Saccharomyces cerevisiae S288C: one gene and its partners. The protein of the gene in region 3 interacts with the protein of the main gene of each other region in a biochemical or structural test. Each region holds a gene or a part of one and is shown on either strand. Other genes may lie near its edges.

Evidence for each region.
Region 1: of the proteins of SGT2 (region 3) and MCA1, one has a biochemical effect on the other in vitro, tested with the Saccharomyces cerevisiae proteins (one study listed by BioGRID).
Region 2: the proteins of SGT2 (region 3) and HSP104 form a complex in vitro, tested with the Saccharomyces cerevisiae proteins (one study listed by BioGRID).
Region 4: the proteins of SGT2 (region 3) and BOS1 form a complex in vitro, tested with the Saccharomyces cerevisiae proteins (4 studies listed by BioGRID).

What each region holds. Positions count from the first base shown.
Region 1 is NC_001147.6:715,338-718,944, reverse strand, and holds MCA1 (Ca(2+)-dependent cysteine protease MCA1), read right to left. Parts: upstream 1,860-3,607; coding exon 561-1,859; downstream 1-560. Other genes in the region: BFR1 (Bfr1p), read left to right, coding at 1-292; LIP5 (lipoate synthase), read left to right, coding at 2,108-3,352. UniProt on the Saccharomyces cerevisiae protein: Cysteine protease that cleaves specifically after arginine or lysine residues. Mediates cell death (apoptosis) triggered by oxygen stress, salt stress or chronological aging.
Region 2 is NC_001144.5:86,861-91,880, forward strand, and holds HSP104 (chaperone ATPase HSP104), read left to right. Parts: upstream 1-1,762; coding exon 1,763-4,489; downstream 4,490-5,020. Other genes in the region: Fe-binding Fe/S cluster assembly protein ISA1, read left to right, coding at 543-1,295. UniProt on the Saccharomyces cerevisiae protein: Required, in concert with Hsp40 (YDJ1) and Hsp70 (SSA1) and small Hsps (HSP26), for the dissociation, resolubilization and refolding of aggregates of damaged proteins after heat or other environmental stresses.
Region 3 is NC_001147.6:338,435-341,755, reverse strand, and holds SGT2 (Sgt2p), read left to right. Parts: upstream 1-1,777; coding exon 1,778-2,818; downstream 2,819-3,321. Other genes in the region: SLG1 (Slg1p), read left to right, coding at 1-478; ribosome biogenesis protein TSR3, read left to right, coding at 3,135-3,321. UniProt on the Saccharomyces cerevisiae protein: Co-chaperone that binds to the molecular chaperone Hsp70 (SSA1 and SSA2). Regulates Hsp70 ATPase activity. Required for recovery from heat shock.
Region 4 is NC_001144.5:285,194-288,324, reverse strand, and holds BOS1 (Bos1p), read left to right. Parts: upstream 1-1,765; coding exon 1,766-1,768; intron 1,769-1,857; coding exon 1,858-2,589; downstream 2,590-3,131. Other genes in the region: EMP46 (Emp46p), read right to left, coding at 1-409; cyclin-dependent protein serine/threonine kinase inhibiting protein SIC1, read right to left, coding at 651-1,505; FMP25 (Fmp25p), read right to left, coding at 2,702-3,131.

The DNA of each region.
Region 1 (3,607 bases), 380 kb from region 3:
CGATGGCAAGTTTACTTTAGAACCAACACTAATTGCTACTTTGGCCGAATTAGACGTAACTGTCCCAATCAACAGTGATGATGTCAAGATCACCGTTGAGCAATTGAAGAAGAAGCATGAAGAGCTTTTGTCGAAACAAGAAGAGCAAACAAAACAAAACATTGAATCTGTCGAAAAGGAAATTGAGAAATTAAATTTGGACTACTCTAACAAAGAGCAACAAGTAAAAAAGGAATTGGAAGAAAAAAGATTGAAAGAACAGGAAGAGTCTGAAAAAGATAAAGAAAATTAAACCTGAAGTAGAAAAAAATTTTTCTCCTGATCTTTCTTCATTACTTAATTTTTCTTTGGTTGAGGTGATGTTTTTTTCTGTACTTAGTATTCACTACGTTAAAAAAACACATGGTCTTATTTTCCAAAATGCCTATTCCCTATATATCTTTGCCTATATGTATATAGTATTAATAGCTTAGATTGTTTCTGCTTTCTAAAAAAATAAAAATTGAATCACATACTACACCAGTCTGAATACATCTACCAACGTACACATTCATATATTTCTACATAATAAATTGCAGATTTACGTCAATAGGGTGTGACGATGATAATTGTGGTTTTTGAGAATACTTACCAGCCAATTCTTTCCTCATGTTCTGTAAAAGAGATAAATATGATTGCTGTGGTTGTAAAGTCATAACCTTGATGAAGGCGTGGGACATTGCACCTGTATTTTGCCCATCTTCGACAGCATCTGCAGAAGTTTGATTATCCTTCGAACCTGATAACATAACAACATCTGCTGCTGAGAATTTGATCTGTCTCACGCGTTCTCTATCCACATTATTGCCCATACCTCCCTTAACGGTCTTGAATATAGAACCTAAAGAACCAATCAAAGCAGCCCTGTTTCCTGTGGCATATGAAATAGCTGCTTGCAGGCCATCTTGGCCAACATCCTTCCAAATATTGGGCTCCTTAATAATACCCTTAGTAGAATAGGTATATGGAAGATCCAACACTGTACCCGAATGACAAGAGTCAAACAATGCTGTTAGTCTAACACCTTGTTGTAAGGGCTTCACCATTATATCGTGCATTTCATCGTCGATAATTGGCCCTTGAGTTTCGAAATCGACCGGATATATAACATCATCCATCCCATCTTCTTCGTCCCCATCCAAATCTTCAGTTTGGCCACCATGTCCAGAATAATGAAGGAACAAAGAATCATTGGGTTGCGCATCCTTGACCAACCATTGCATGGCCCTAATCATATTAGCCCTAGTGGGAACCCTGACCAAATCGTTCTGATCATCAGTTAATATGACAATGTCATCTGAACTGTAACCGTACCCATTAGTCAAAAAGTTGAAGATGTTATGAGCATCATTGATACAACCACGCAGTTGATTTTTTGAACCTATGTAGTTTATACCGATAATCAAAGCCTTTCTACGCCCAGTACATTGAGAATACTGATAAGGTTGGTCTGTACCTTGAATAGTTTGTGTTTGAGGTGGAGGTAATGACATATTCTGGGGTGGACCGTACATATTGGATGCGTTTACATTAGGATTGTTGTAGCCGTTGCTTAATTGTGCCTTTGCCTGTTCCTGCTGGAATTGAGGGGGGGGATACACAGGCCTGTTATAAGCCATAGGGGGAGGACCTGGTGGTGGAGCATATTGCTGACTGAATTGCTGATCATTTTGTTGCCCATATTGCTGTCCATACTGCTGTTCATATTGCTGACCATATTGCTGTCCATACTGCTGGTTAGGTGGAGGAGCCATGGGCCGTTGGTAGCCATTATTACCACCAGCGTTGTTGTAGGTGTAACGTCCACTACCTGGATACATGATTGTAAATCTAGTCGGTCTTCTTTGGTGGTAGTTTAGATAAACTTCGAGGCTCATCTTCATATTTTTGGCTCCTATTAATGCGAAGCCATGCTTTTTCAATAGTTGTTATTACCCGGACGCTTTTCTCGAAGCAGTTATTTGAAAAGCACTTGTAGTAATCAAATATATGTATATGACTCGATGGGCATTAAGTATCCAGTTTTGTCAGTTATGTGGATTTTAAGGAGAACTGTTAAGCCACAATAATGTATAGACGATCTGTTGGAGTACTATTTGTTGGGAGAAATACAAGATGGATTTCGTCCACTATTAGGTGTGGAACGAGCGCAACTCGGCCAATAAGATCCAATGCATTGAATACTGATTCAGATAACGCTAGCGTTAGGGTACCAGTTGGAAATTCAACTGAGGTTGAAAATGCAACCAGTCAGTTAACAGGGACTTCGGGAAAAAGACGCAAGGGGAACAGAAAAAGAATTACAGAGTTCAAAGATGCTCTTAATTTGGGTCCATCTTTTGCAGATTTTGTTTCAGGTAAAGCTTCGAAAATGATCTTGGACCCTCTGGAGAAGGCAAGGCAAAATACAGAGGAAGCTAAAAAACTACCTCGTTGGCTTAAGGTTCCTATTCCTAAGGGTACCAATTACCATAAATTGAAAGGCGACGTAAAAGAATTAGGCCTGAGTACTGTTTGTGAGGAGGCAAGATGTCCCAATATTGGTGAATGTTGGGGAGGCAAAGATAAATCTAAGGCAACGGCAACAATTATGCTGCTTGGTGATACTTGCACTCGTGGATGTAGGTTTTGTTCTGTGAAGACCAATAGAACGCCTAGTAAGCCGGACCCAATGGAGCCCGAAAATACTGCCGAAGCTATCAAAAGATGGGGGTTGGGTTATGTTGTTTTAACTACCGTTGATAGGGACGATTTAGTCGATGGTGGTGCTAATCACCTGGCCGAGACGGTTCGCAAAATCAAACAGAAGGCACCAAATACTCTTGTAGAGACTCTTTCTGGTGATTTCAGAGGTGATTTGAAGATGGTGGACATTATGGCACAATGTGGGCTTGATGTTTACGCACATAATTTGGAAACAGTTGAATCACTAACACCACATGTCAGAGACAGAAGAGCTACTTATAGACAGTCTTTGAGTGTTTTAGAAAGGGCAAAAGCTACGGTTCCGTCACTGATTACTAAAACATCAATAATGCTGGGTCTAGGAGAAACTGATGAGCAAATTACTCAAACTTTGAAGGATTTGCGCAATATTCAATGTGATGTTGTTACATTTGGTCAATATATGAGGCCAACCAAGAGACATATGAAAGTCGTAGAATATGTGAAACCCGAAAAGTTTGACTACTGGAAAGAGAGAGCTTTAGAGATGGGATTCTTGTATTGTGCATCTGGACCCCTAGTAAGATCGTCATATAAGGCTGGTGAAGCATTTATTGAGAACGTTTTGAAGAAAAGAAACATGAAATAATGCACACTGAAATCTAATAGTTGGAAGAAAACAATTATGGCATGGACCGCAATGTCTTTGCTTGCTGGATTATTTATTTATATCTTGTATTTTATTTATTTTTATGGTTAGTATGTTTTTGCATATTTATTTTTAACACAGAAAAGTTAGGAAACAATATCAAATATTCGATACGAATTTGTATATTTACGGTATATCCTTAATATTTTATTCTCATGACATATTAAGGGAAAAGATAAAATGCAAAAGAAAAAA
Region 2 (5,020 bases), on a different chromosome or scaffold from region 3:
TTTTCCTCCAAGACTCCTCTTATGTGGTTGTTATGTATAGCCCATAGTTACTAAATAAAACACTAATTAATGATTAATAATCCCTCTCTAATAAGAAATAGATAAAAGCTATTGTTCTTCTCATCGCCGGTTCTCGGCGTTGTCCGTACCCTTGGCCGAAACTCGGGCGGGGGCTTATTAGTCATACCCTCAGATTTCATTGGTCAGATAACAGTCACCCGGTAAATGCCCGTTTAATGACTTCTTTATTTTGGATTAAAATTGACAGGGAATTTCAACGGAATAAAGGAAAGAGATTGAGATGCTTTTAATTCATAAAGGAAAGGGAAAGAGGACAGGAAAGCAAGGAAGAGTAATGGAATTTTGCAAATATTTGTAAATCCTTTAGAATTACTAAGAAACTGTTATTTATTGACATTATTTTACTCGTCTTATTTATTTATTTATACATTTGGCCACCATTTTTGCACTCGTACGAAAGACCATTTTAGATTTTTTTGATTTGGTAGTATAACAAACGATCGGAACAATAACGTAACATAATGATAAACACAGGAAGAAGCAGGAATTCAGTACTGCTGGCACACAGATTCCTTTCAACTGGAGGATTTTGGCGAGGCGGTACGAATGGCACAATGTCTCGCACAATCAACAACGTAAATCCTTTCAAATTAAAATTCATACCGAAGACAGTGCCCGCAGCTGCAGACTCTGTCTCTCCAGATAGTCAACGTCCAGGTAAGAAGCCCTTCAAATTCATAGTTTCCAATCAGAGCAAGAGTAGCAAGGCTTCTAAAAGCCCGAAGTGGTCGAGCTACGCATTCCCTTCGCGTGAGACCATCAAATCTCATGAGGAGGCCATCAAGAAGCAGAATAAAGCTATAGACGAGCAAATAGCTGCTGCAGTATCCAAGAATGACTGCTCTTGCACAGAACCTCCCAAGAAAAGAAAGAGGAAATTGAGACCAAGAAAGGCGCTGATCACCCTGAGTCCGAAGGCAATCAAGCATTTAAGGGCACTGCTAGCTCAGCCGGAACCTAAATTGATTAGAGTTAGCGCTAGAAACCGTGGATGTTCAGGACTAACGTACGATCTACAATATATCACCGAGCCGGGGAAATTCGATGAGGTAGTAGAACAAGATGGCGTTAAAATTGTCATCGATTCAAAGGCGTTATTCAGCATCATTGGAAGTGAAATGGACTGGATCGACGACAAGTTGGCCTCTAAGTTTGTCTTCAAGAATCCAAACTCCAAGGGCACATGCGGTTGTGGCGAGAGTTTCATGGTTTAAAAACCTTCTGCACCATTTTTAGAAAAAAAGAATCTACCTATTCACTTATTTATTCATTTACTTATTTATTTACATATTTATCATACATATTAACATTGAACCCTCCATCGTGGTAGTGTTTGCTGTTCCTAACTTTTCTTTCGTTGTTCTTGTAGATATATATTTTTCCAGAATTTTCTAGAAGGGTTATTAATTACAATCTTAAACGTTCCATAAGGGGCCGCGATTTTTTTGTTCAATTTTCAACAGGGGGCCCATCTCAAAGAACTGCAAATTATATCACAGTAAAAGGCAAAGGGGCGCAAACTTATGCAACCTGCCAGATTATTATATAAGGCATTGTAATCTTGCCTCAATTCCTTCATAATTCGTTCCTTTGTCACTTGTTCCTTTTTACCCTTGAATCGAATCAGCAATAACAAAGAAAAAAGAAATCAACTACACGTACCATAAAATATACAGAATATATGAACGACCAAACGCAATTTACAGAAAGGGCTCTAACGATTTTGACGTTGGCTCAAAAATTGGCTTCGGATCATCAACATCCACAATTACAACCTATACATATTCTAGCTGCCTTCATTGAAACGCCAGAAGATGGATCAGTCCCTTACCTACAGAATCTAATTGAGAAGGGCCGTTACGACTATGATCTTTTCAAGAAAGTGGTTAATAGAAATCTAGTAAGAATTCCTCAACAGCAACCTGCACCTGCGGAGATAACTCCAAGTTATGCTTTGGGGAAAGTCCTTCAAGACGCTGCTAAGATTCAAAAACAACAGAAGGACTCATTTATAGCGCAAGACCATATATTGTTTGCTCTATTCAATGATTCGTCTATTCAGCAAATATTTAAGGAAGCTCAAGTAGATATTGAGGCCATCAAGCAACAAGCTCTTGAACTTCGTGGTAACACTAGAATTGACTCTCGTGGCGCTGATACGAACACACCTTTGGAATATTTATCAAAGTACGCCATTGATATGACTGAGCAGGCTCGTCAAGGTAAACTTGACCCTGTCATCGGCCGTGAAGAAGAAATAAGAAGCACTATTAGAGTTTTAGCAAGAAGAATTAAGTCCAACCCATGTTTAATTGGTGAGCCAGGTATCGGTAAGACCGCTATTATTGAAGGTGTTGCTCAAAGAATCATTGACGATGACGTTCCCACTATCTTACAAGGCGCTAAATTGTTCAGTCTAGATTTGGCCGCATTAACCGCAGGTGCTAAATACAAAGGTGATTTCGAAGAAAGATTCAAAGGTGTTTTGAAGGAAATCGAAGAATCAAAGACTCTAATTGTGTTATTCATTGATGAAATTCACATGTTAATGGGTAATGGTAAGGACGACGCTGCTAACATCTTGAAGCCAGCTTTGTCCAGAGGCCAATTGAAGGTCATCGGTGCCACCACCAATAACGAATATAGATCTATTGTGGAAAAGGATGGTGCCTTTGAAAGAAGATTCCAGAAAATTGAAGTCGCTGAACCAAGTGTGAGACAAACAGTGGCCATATTGAGAGGTCTGCAACCAAAGTATGAAATACATCATGGTGTAAGGATTCTGGATAGCGCCTTAGTCACTGCTGCTCAATTAGCCAAGCGTTACTTGCCATATAGAAGATTGCCAGATTCTGCTTTGGATTTAGTTGATATTTCTTGTGCTGGTGTCGCCGTCGCAAGAGATTCTAAGCCAGAAGAATTGGATTCCAAGGAACGTCAATTGCAATTGATTCAAGTAGAGATAAAAGCTCTAGAGAGAGATGAAGATGCCGACTCCACCACTAAAGATAGATTAAAGTTAGCTAGGCAGAAGGAAGCTTCATTGCAAGAAGAATTGGAACCTCTAAGACAACGTTACAATGAAGAAAAGCATGGCCATGAAGAATTGACACAAGCTAAAAAGAAATTGGATGAACTGGAAAACAAGGCCCTTGATGCTGAACGTAGATATGATACTGCTACCGCCGCTGATTTAAGGTACTTCGCCATCCCAGATATCAAAAAGCAAATCGAAAAGCTTGAAGATCAGGTTGCTGAGGAAGAGAGACGTGCTGGTGCCAACTCCATGATCCAAAATGTGGTCGATTCAGACACCATTTCTGAAACAGCTGCAAGATTGACTGGTATCCCTGTTAAGAAGTTGTCAGAATCTGAAAATGAAAAATTGATTCATATGGAACGTGACTTATCATCTGAAGTCGTGGGCCAAATGGATGCCATTAAAGCTGTTTCCAATGCCGTTAGATTGTCTAGATCAGGTTTAGCTAATCCAAGGCAACCAGCATCCTTCTTATTTTTAGGTTTGTCCGGTTCCGGTAAAACTGAATTGGCTAAAAAAGTTGCTGGATTTTTGTTTAATGATGAGGACATGATGATCAGGGTCGATTGTTCTGAATTAAGCGAGAAGTATGCGGTCTCTAAGTTGTTGGGTACCACGGCAGGTTATGTCGGGTACGATGAAGGTGGCTTTTTAACTAACCAACTGCAATACAAACCATACTCCGTTTTGTTATTCGATGAAGTAGAAAAGGCACATCCTGATGTTTTGACTGTCATGCTACAAATGTTGGATGACGGTAGAATTACTTCTGGTCAAGGTAAGACGATCGACTGTTCCAATTGTATTGTCATCATGACTTCCAATCTAGGTGCTGAATTTATCAATTCTCAACAAGGATCAAAGATCCAAGAATCTACCAAGAATTTGGTCATGGGTGCTGTTAGGCAACATTTCAGACCAGAATTTTTGAACAGAATTTCTAGTATAGTCATTTTCAACAAGCTATCTAGAAAAGCTATTCATAAGATCGTGGATATTCGTTTGAAGGAAATTGAAGAGAGATTCGAGCAAAATGATAAACATTACAAGTTGAATTTAACTCAAGAGGCCAAGGACTTCTTGGCCAAATATGGTTATTCCGATGATATGGGTGCACGTCCACTGAACAGGTTAATTCAAAACGAAATTTTGAACAAACTGGCACTAAGGATCTTAAAGAATGAAATCAAGGATAAGGAAACTGTCAATGTCGTCTTGAAGAAGGGTAAATCTCGTGATGAAAATGTTCCTGAGGAAGCTGAAGAATGTCTGGAAGTTCTACCAAATCACGAAGCTACTATAGGGGCTGACACGTTAGGTGATGACGATAATGAGGACAGTATGGAAATTGATGATGACCTAGATTAATTTAATATAGTGTGATTTTTAAAAACTTTCGAACAAGAATCAGTAATATAATATATATAATTAATAAAACTAATGGAATTTGTTTAATTGAACTTGACACCCGAGCAAAAGAGCTCACATTTTAACGTTTAGTTCATCTTGCTGTGAATAATCTAAAAGTAAACAATGGACAAAAAAGTCCACTGGACGTCAAATCTTTTTTTATTGTATTTGGGACATATGGCGTTGATAACTAAAGTTTAAAGGAAGTAATAAGTGAAGGTTAAATCTGGACCTCTTTACTTTCATATTAGAAGTATAAAACACACGCGGATTGGTCCATTATTAGAATACGGGTACTACAATAATGGTTTTGATAGTTACTGTACATTTGAATGTAGCGACTCATATGACTCATATATATGACTACCAAATCATGTTAAAATTAGTATATCTTTAACTTAGACTTCAGTACTATCTGAACTGCACGTTTAAATTTTTACCATAGCAGTTCATGTAATATTAATAATCACTTGTGCCAATATAATGTTA
Region 3 (3,321 bases):
GGGCGGTTCCACAATTTTTGTCACGAACACCATCACGGCAAGTGCACAGAATTCAGGATCGGCCACAGGTACAGCTGGATCTGACTCTACGAGTGGAAGTAAAACTCATAAAAAGAAAGCCAATGTAGGGGCAATTGTAGGCGGCGTTGTAGGTGGTGTAGTGGGAGCCGTAGCCATTGCTCTTTGTATCTTGTTGATTGTCAGACACATTAATATGAAGCGGGAACAAGACAGGATGGAAAAGGAATACCAAGAGGCGATAAAACCAGTTGAGTACCCTGATAAACTATACGCCTCTTCATTTTCATCTAATCACGGGCCCTCTTCAGGTAGCTTCGAGGAGGAGCACACCAAAGGGCAAACTGATATTAACCCTTTCGACGACTCAAGGAGAATAAGTAACGGAACATTCATAAATGGCGGACCAGGAGGGAAAAACAACGTTTTAACAGTGGTCAATCCAGACGAAGCTGATTGAAGAAACCCAAAAAAAATTATTATATTCTTAAACTATTGCCAAGCAAGTCTTGTTCCTTCCCATTAATTTTTTCTTTTTCCGATTTCATTTTGCCAAATCATCTCCATTTTCACATTATGATGATCCTCTAAAAATTCATACATTTCGAATTTGAGAGCTGGAGAGCTGGAAGTAACGAGGAACATTAAATAGGAACAACAAAATTAGATTAGTTATTTTTTTTTCTACTCATTAATTTTTTTATGATATATTTGAATACCAACCTTAACTTAGTTACATAGATTTAACAAACATTAAACATGTTAATTCTTTGAAATGAATACCACCTAATAAAACTATACATTTTCAAAATAACAAATTGTTATGAAACTAATAGCTAATTATCTTCTAGTGACAATAACCACTTTACTAGAAATTATTAAAAAAATACCGCGTTGAAAGACGATATAAAGTAGGAGATTAATAAATTTATATTCATATTTTCTTCAATCTAATGAAATTGAAGCGCAAGGATTGATTATGTGATAGGATGCGTGAGTAGTAATGCATGAAAAAGGAGGAAGACGTGATTATAATATATGATGTAAAATTTTGATTCCATTTTGCGGATTCCTGTATCCTCGAGGAAAGACCTCTGGCATATTATATAGGGATATTATTCCTTTACAAAAAATGGAATGAAAGAATCAAAACAAAATTGTCATGTTTGCACAATTGCGTATACCATTGCATATAATTATGTCGAAAATCATCAATATGTATGGGAATGATCATTCCATTTTTTTCACACTGGCATAATAATTTGAATATAATAATAATGGATGATGGGCATTATTGGGAAATAAAACTATGAAATTTGCTTTTAGTACGTGTATCGATAAATATCTCTAATTTTCTCAAGATCTGTTCCTCGTGGCCCAATGGTCACGGCGTCTGGCTACGAACCAGAAGATTCCAGGTTCAAGTCCTGGCGGGGAAGATTTTTTTTAACATTGAATAGAAATTACAAAGGTCTTTTATGCTATTTTAAAGGGCTATAGGCGGCATAATATTTGCTTTTAACCTTATTGTCATGACATTCTAATCACAACACTTAGCCCTTCTTTTGTATTTTTCCAAACTTTTTCAAGTCTTAAAATTTTCCCAATCGAAAAAAATGGAAGATCCGAGAAGGTTTTATTGCCCTACGCTTAATCCCAAATTTTGCCACCATATAAAATGAGTACGAGCGATATAATCGGACAACTGAATAGAAGCTTCTGACCAAGTGATATCTTATTAATACAAATCTACTGTACGATGTCAGCATCAAAAGAAGAAATTGCTGCCCTTATTGTAAACTACTTTTCTTCCATTGTGGAAAAGAAAGAAATTTCAGAAGATGGCGCCGATTCTTTAAATGTTGCTATGGACTGTATCTCTGAAGCCTTTGGCTTTGAAAGAGAAGCTGTTTCAGGCATTTTAGGCAAGTCTGAATTCAAGGGTCAACATCTTGCTGATATATTAAATTCTGCGTCAAGAGTTCCAGAATCGAATAAGAAAGACGATGCTGAGAATGTCGAGATTAATATTCCAGAAGATGATGCGGAAACTAAAGCCAAAGCTGAGGACTTGAAAATGCAAGGTAATAAAGCAATGGCCAACAAGGATTACGAACTGGCAATCAATAAATATACTGAAGCCATTAAAGTTTTACCAACGAATGCTATTTATTACGCCAATAGAGCGGCTGCTCATTCATCCCTGAAAGAATATGATCAAGCGGTCAAAGACGCTGAATCTGCAATTTCTATTGACCCATCTTATTTCAGAGGCTACTCTAGATTGGGTTTTGCTAAATATGCGCAAGGTAAACCCGAAGAAGCCCTTGAAGCATACAAAAAGGTTCTTGATATAGAGGGCGATAATGCAACAGAAGCTATGAAAAGGGATTATGAAAGTGCCAAGAAGAAGGTTGAGCAATCTTTGAATCTGGAGAAAACCGTTCCAGAACAGTCAAGGGATGCTGATGTCGATGCAAGTCAGGGTGCTAGTGCGGGTGGATTGCCAGATCTTGGTTCTTTATTAGGAGGTGGTCTTGGAGGTTTAATGAACAACCCACAATTGATGCAGGCTGCGCAAAAAATGATGAGCAATCCAGGTGCAATGCAGAATATTCAAAAAATGATGCAAGATCCAAGTATCAGACAGATGGCTGAAGGCTTTGCTTCAGGCGGAGGAACTCCAAATTTGTCTGACTTGATGAATAACCCAGCACTCAGAAACATGGCAGGCAATCTTTTTGGTGGAGCAGGTGCCCAATCTACAGATGAAACACCAGACAATGAGAACAAGCAATAGTGGACTGAAATAAGCCTTTAATGCAATACATGTTATGTAGATACAAATATAGCTCTATCTAGGATGAGTGTTACCAGGAATTTTATTTTTACTTTGAGATCACTTGCGAAATACTTAAATAGGGACTGTAGTTTACTTTTTCTTTTTTTCAGGTAAATTCGTCGATTTTCGGAGAAGACTAGAAAATATAATGTGATGAGAAACTACATAAAAAAATTTTTACTAGTAAATGTCTATTTGAAATACTTTATCGAAAAGCTTTTTATGTAAATCTGTATAGAACTTCTCGCGTAAGACAGTTGAGTAAGCAGTAACAATGGGAAAAGGTAAAAATAAGATGCACGAACCCAAAAATGGAAGACCACAGAGAGGCGCTAATGGGCACAGTTCCAGGCAAAACCATAGGCGCATGGAAATGAAGTACGATAATTCAGAAAAAATGAAGTTTCCTGTTAAACTGGCTATGTGGGATTTTGATCATTGCGATCCAAAGAGATGCAGTG
Region 4 (3,131 bases), on a different chromosome or scaffold from region 3:
AAAATGCAAGACCCCCCTTTGTGCTGCCTCTGAACCCGAAACTTCTAAACGTCCACTCTATTGTCATTGCATCCTTTATTGAATATTCAGGTTTCAACCAAAGTGAACCCTTTGTGTTCTTTCCAGGAGTTAAAACAAACCTCCCTTCTTCAAGTTTTACTTTGTCACCCAAAGTCCATTGTGAAAGTTCTTTTTGCTGATCTGTCACTTCTAGCAAATTTGGTAGCGAGTATCCTTTATTCCATTTCAATTCATCCTTCTGCGTCACTTTTCCGTGTACCATCCACACACACATATATAACCATATCAGTCCATTAATGAAATTCATCTTCTTTTGCTTAGTTCCAGCTTTTGTTCCTGTGATTTTCCCTAAAAGCTGAAGAGAGGAAGCTGTCTTTCTTGTAGTCATCCTCCCCTAACTCGCTTTGACGAAATACTACAATGAAATATGCTATTATTCTGAAGACAGAAAACCAGAATAAAAGAATACGGTAAGGAAAAGTTAAAAATCCTGTTAATGTTGTAATATAGAATATCCTGTATATATTATAATATGTAAAATGTTGATGTTAATGCCCCTTTGCAAATAAATGTAGAATAAGTAAGTAAATAAAATATAATCGTTCCAGAAACTTTTTTTTTTCATTTCTTCAATGCTCTTGATCCCTAGATTGAAACAATGCCTTTGGCTTGAATCTTCTCTTTTCTTCATCCGTTAACCTTCGTTTCTCTACCACCTCTCCCTTCTTATTGACATATGTTATTACGTCTTCTATATCTGGGTTTTCTCTCAACATTGCCCTTTTACGTTCATTTCTAATTTCCTGAGTGACCAGTTCATCTGATGCAAAGGGATTTTTACCCACCCGCACTGGATTGATGATGATGTCTTCCTCGTCTTCACTTTCTTGACTCCTGGCGTCATTTTTCGGAGAGTTGTTGTTCCAATTTTTTGCCAATTCAAATGTTATCACCTTGTCGCTGGGCGTACCAGGTACATCTTTAATAATCTTCTTTCTATGTGTCTGATCAAACTCATCTCTTTCAAGTGATAAATGTAACTGCCTGGCAGATGTAGGTCTGCTGGGGGGAAGAAGAACTTCTCCTTCTTCTTCTTCTTCTGCTGCATCTATATCCACATTTTGCTGCGTGGGAAACAATATCCTATTTACACGACCCAATGGTTCCTGCTCTTCCCTTACTGTTCCATTATCATGACTTTCAAATTGGAATAGTGTCCTCTTCACTGAAGATTTTGGAAACGGCGAGCGTTGAGGAGACGTAAGCCCATTAAATGGAGAGGTCATACCCATGTTCGAATTGGGAGGTGCTAATAATGGCGCATTTTTAAAAGACTTAGTTGTTGAGGGAGTGACAGGGACTAGGTTCTGTGAAGGCTTTTGGGGGGTCTTTTGACCTTGCATTAGGGCACTAGAACTAGTATTGCCACTAGGCTGCGCAAGGTACCTAGTCCCTCTGGACCTTGGTGGGGTGGAAGGAGTCATTTTCGTGTAATAGTCCCTGCTTCAAGGGTCAAAATTCCGTAGAGGTTTGGTTGATTGATTTACAAAGACAATACCTTATCCTTTGGATATGCCTTCTCTCTTTTTATAAATATCAAAAGTTGCGACGCGAACAACAAGCCAGCCATTGAAATTTTCAGTGTGCTGGCTATAATAGACAGGATCGACGCTGTCGATGGAGAAGGAAACACGGCAATAGTGCAGATATTATCGTGACTTAATCATATTGATTTGAGGGGGGAATGGTATGTTTGATCGCCGGAGGCATCTTTTCTCATTATTGCTAAAACAAGATGTAATACTAACAGGGTATTTTGCTACTACCATCAAATAGAACGCTCTTTACAACCATGCTGTGAAGCAAAAAAATCAACTACAACAAGAGTTGGCCAGGTTTGAAAAGAATTCTGTGACCGCCCCTATTTCTTTACAAGGGTCCATCTCTGCAACTCTGGTCTCACTGGAGAAAACAGTTAAGCAATATGCAGAACATTTAAACAGATATAAAGAAGATACTAATGCAGAGGAAATTGATCCTAAGTTCGCTAATCGACTAGCAACTTTAACACAGGATCTGCACGACTTTACTGCCAAGTTTAAGGATTTAAAACAATCCTACAACGAAAATAATTCCAGAACTCAGTTGTTTGGCTCAGGAGCATCGCATGTTATGGACTCCGATAACCCCTTTAGTACATCAGAGACCATCATGAATAAAAGGAACGTTGGTGGTGCGAGTGCAAATGGTAAAGAGGGCTCTAGCAACGGTGGGGGACTACCGTTGTACCAAGGGCTACAAAAGGAACAGTCTGTTTTCGAAAGGGGTAACGCTCAATTAGATTACATTCTAGAAATGGGCCAACAATCATTCGAAAATATAGTGGAACAAAACAAAATTTTATCCAAGGTACAAGATAGAATGTCAAATGGCCTAAGAACATTGGGTGTTTCGGAACAAACTATCACCTCTATCAATAAACGGGTGTTCAAAGATAAACTAGTCTTTTGGATCGCGTTAATTCTCTTGATCATAGGTATTTATTATGTGTTGAAATGGTTAAGATAGAAGTAACCGTGAGTTCTATATATAAATAAACATACCATATATACATGCATCATTATAAGGGTTGAAAAAACATCGCGAATCTCGCTACTTTCCTTCTATGCTCTTTCGTTTCTCAAACCCGCCAGTATAAGCAACTTTTATTACCATTGGTGACTACACGTTGCTCCTTTTTTAAGTGTAATTTACTGTTATAAATTGAGTCCAAATCTGTCGTGTCTTGTCCTGGTTTGAGAACTTCGGGAATGTTCATTGGCTTAGCGCATTTCATAGTTTTCTTTCCAATACCTAGTTGGCCATGGTCGTTATTACCCCATGCAATGACCTCGTTTTCTTGTTCAGTTTCAGTGAACACACAATGAGAGCCGCAACTCCAGTTGGTCAATTTCTTGTCATCCGACTTGATTTTTATGGGATCACATTGCGAGTTCTTGAAAGTGTTGTTGCCCAATTCACCAAAAAGTCCATTACCAAACGCGAAATAATGATGGTCTGACGTTGAGCCAGGCTTACGAATGGTCACAAACGATGTTTCATCATCACAA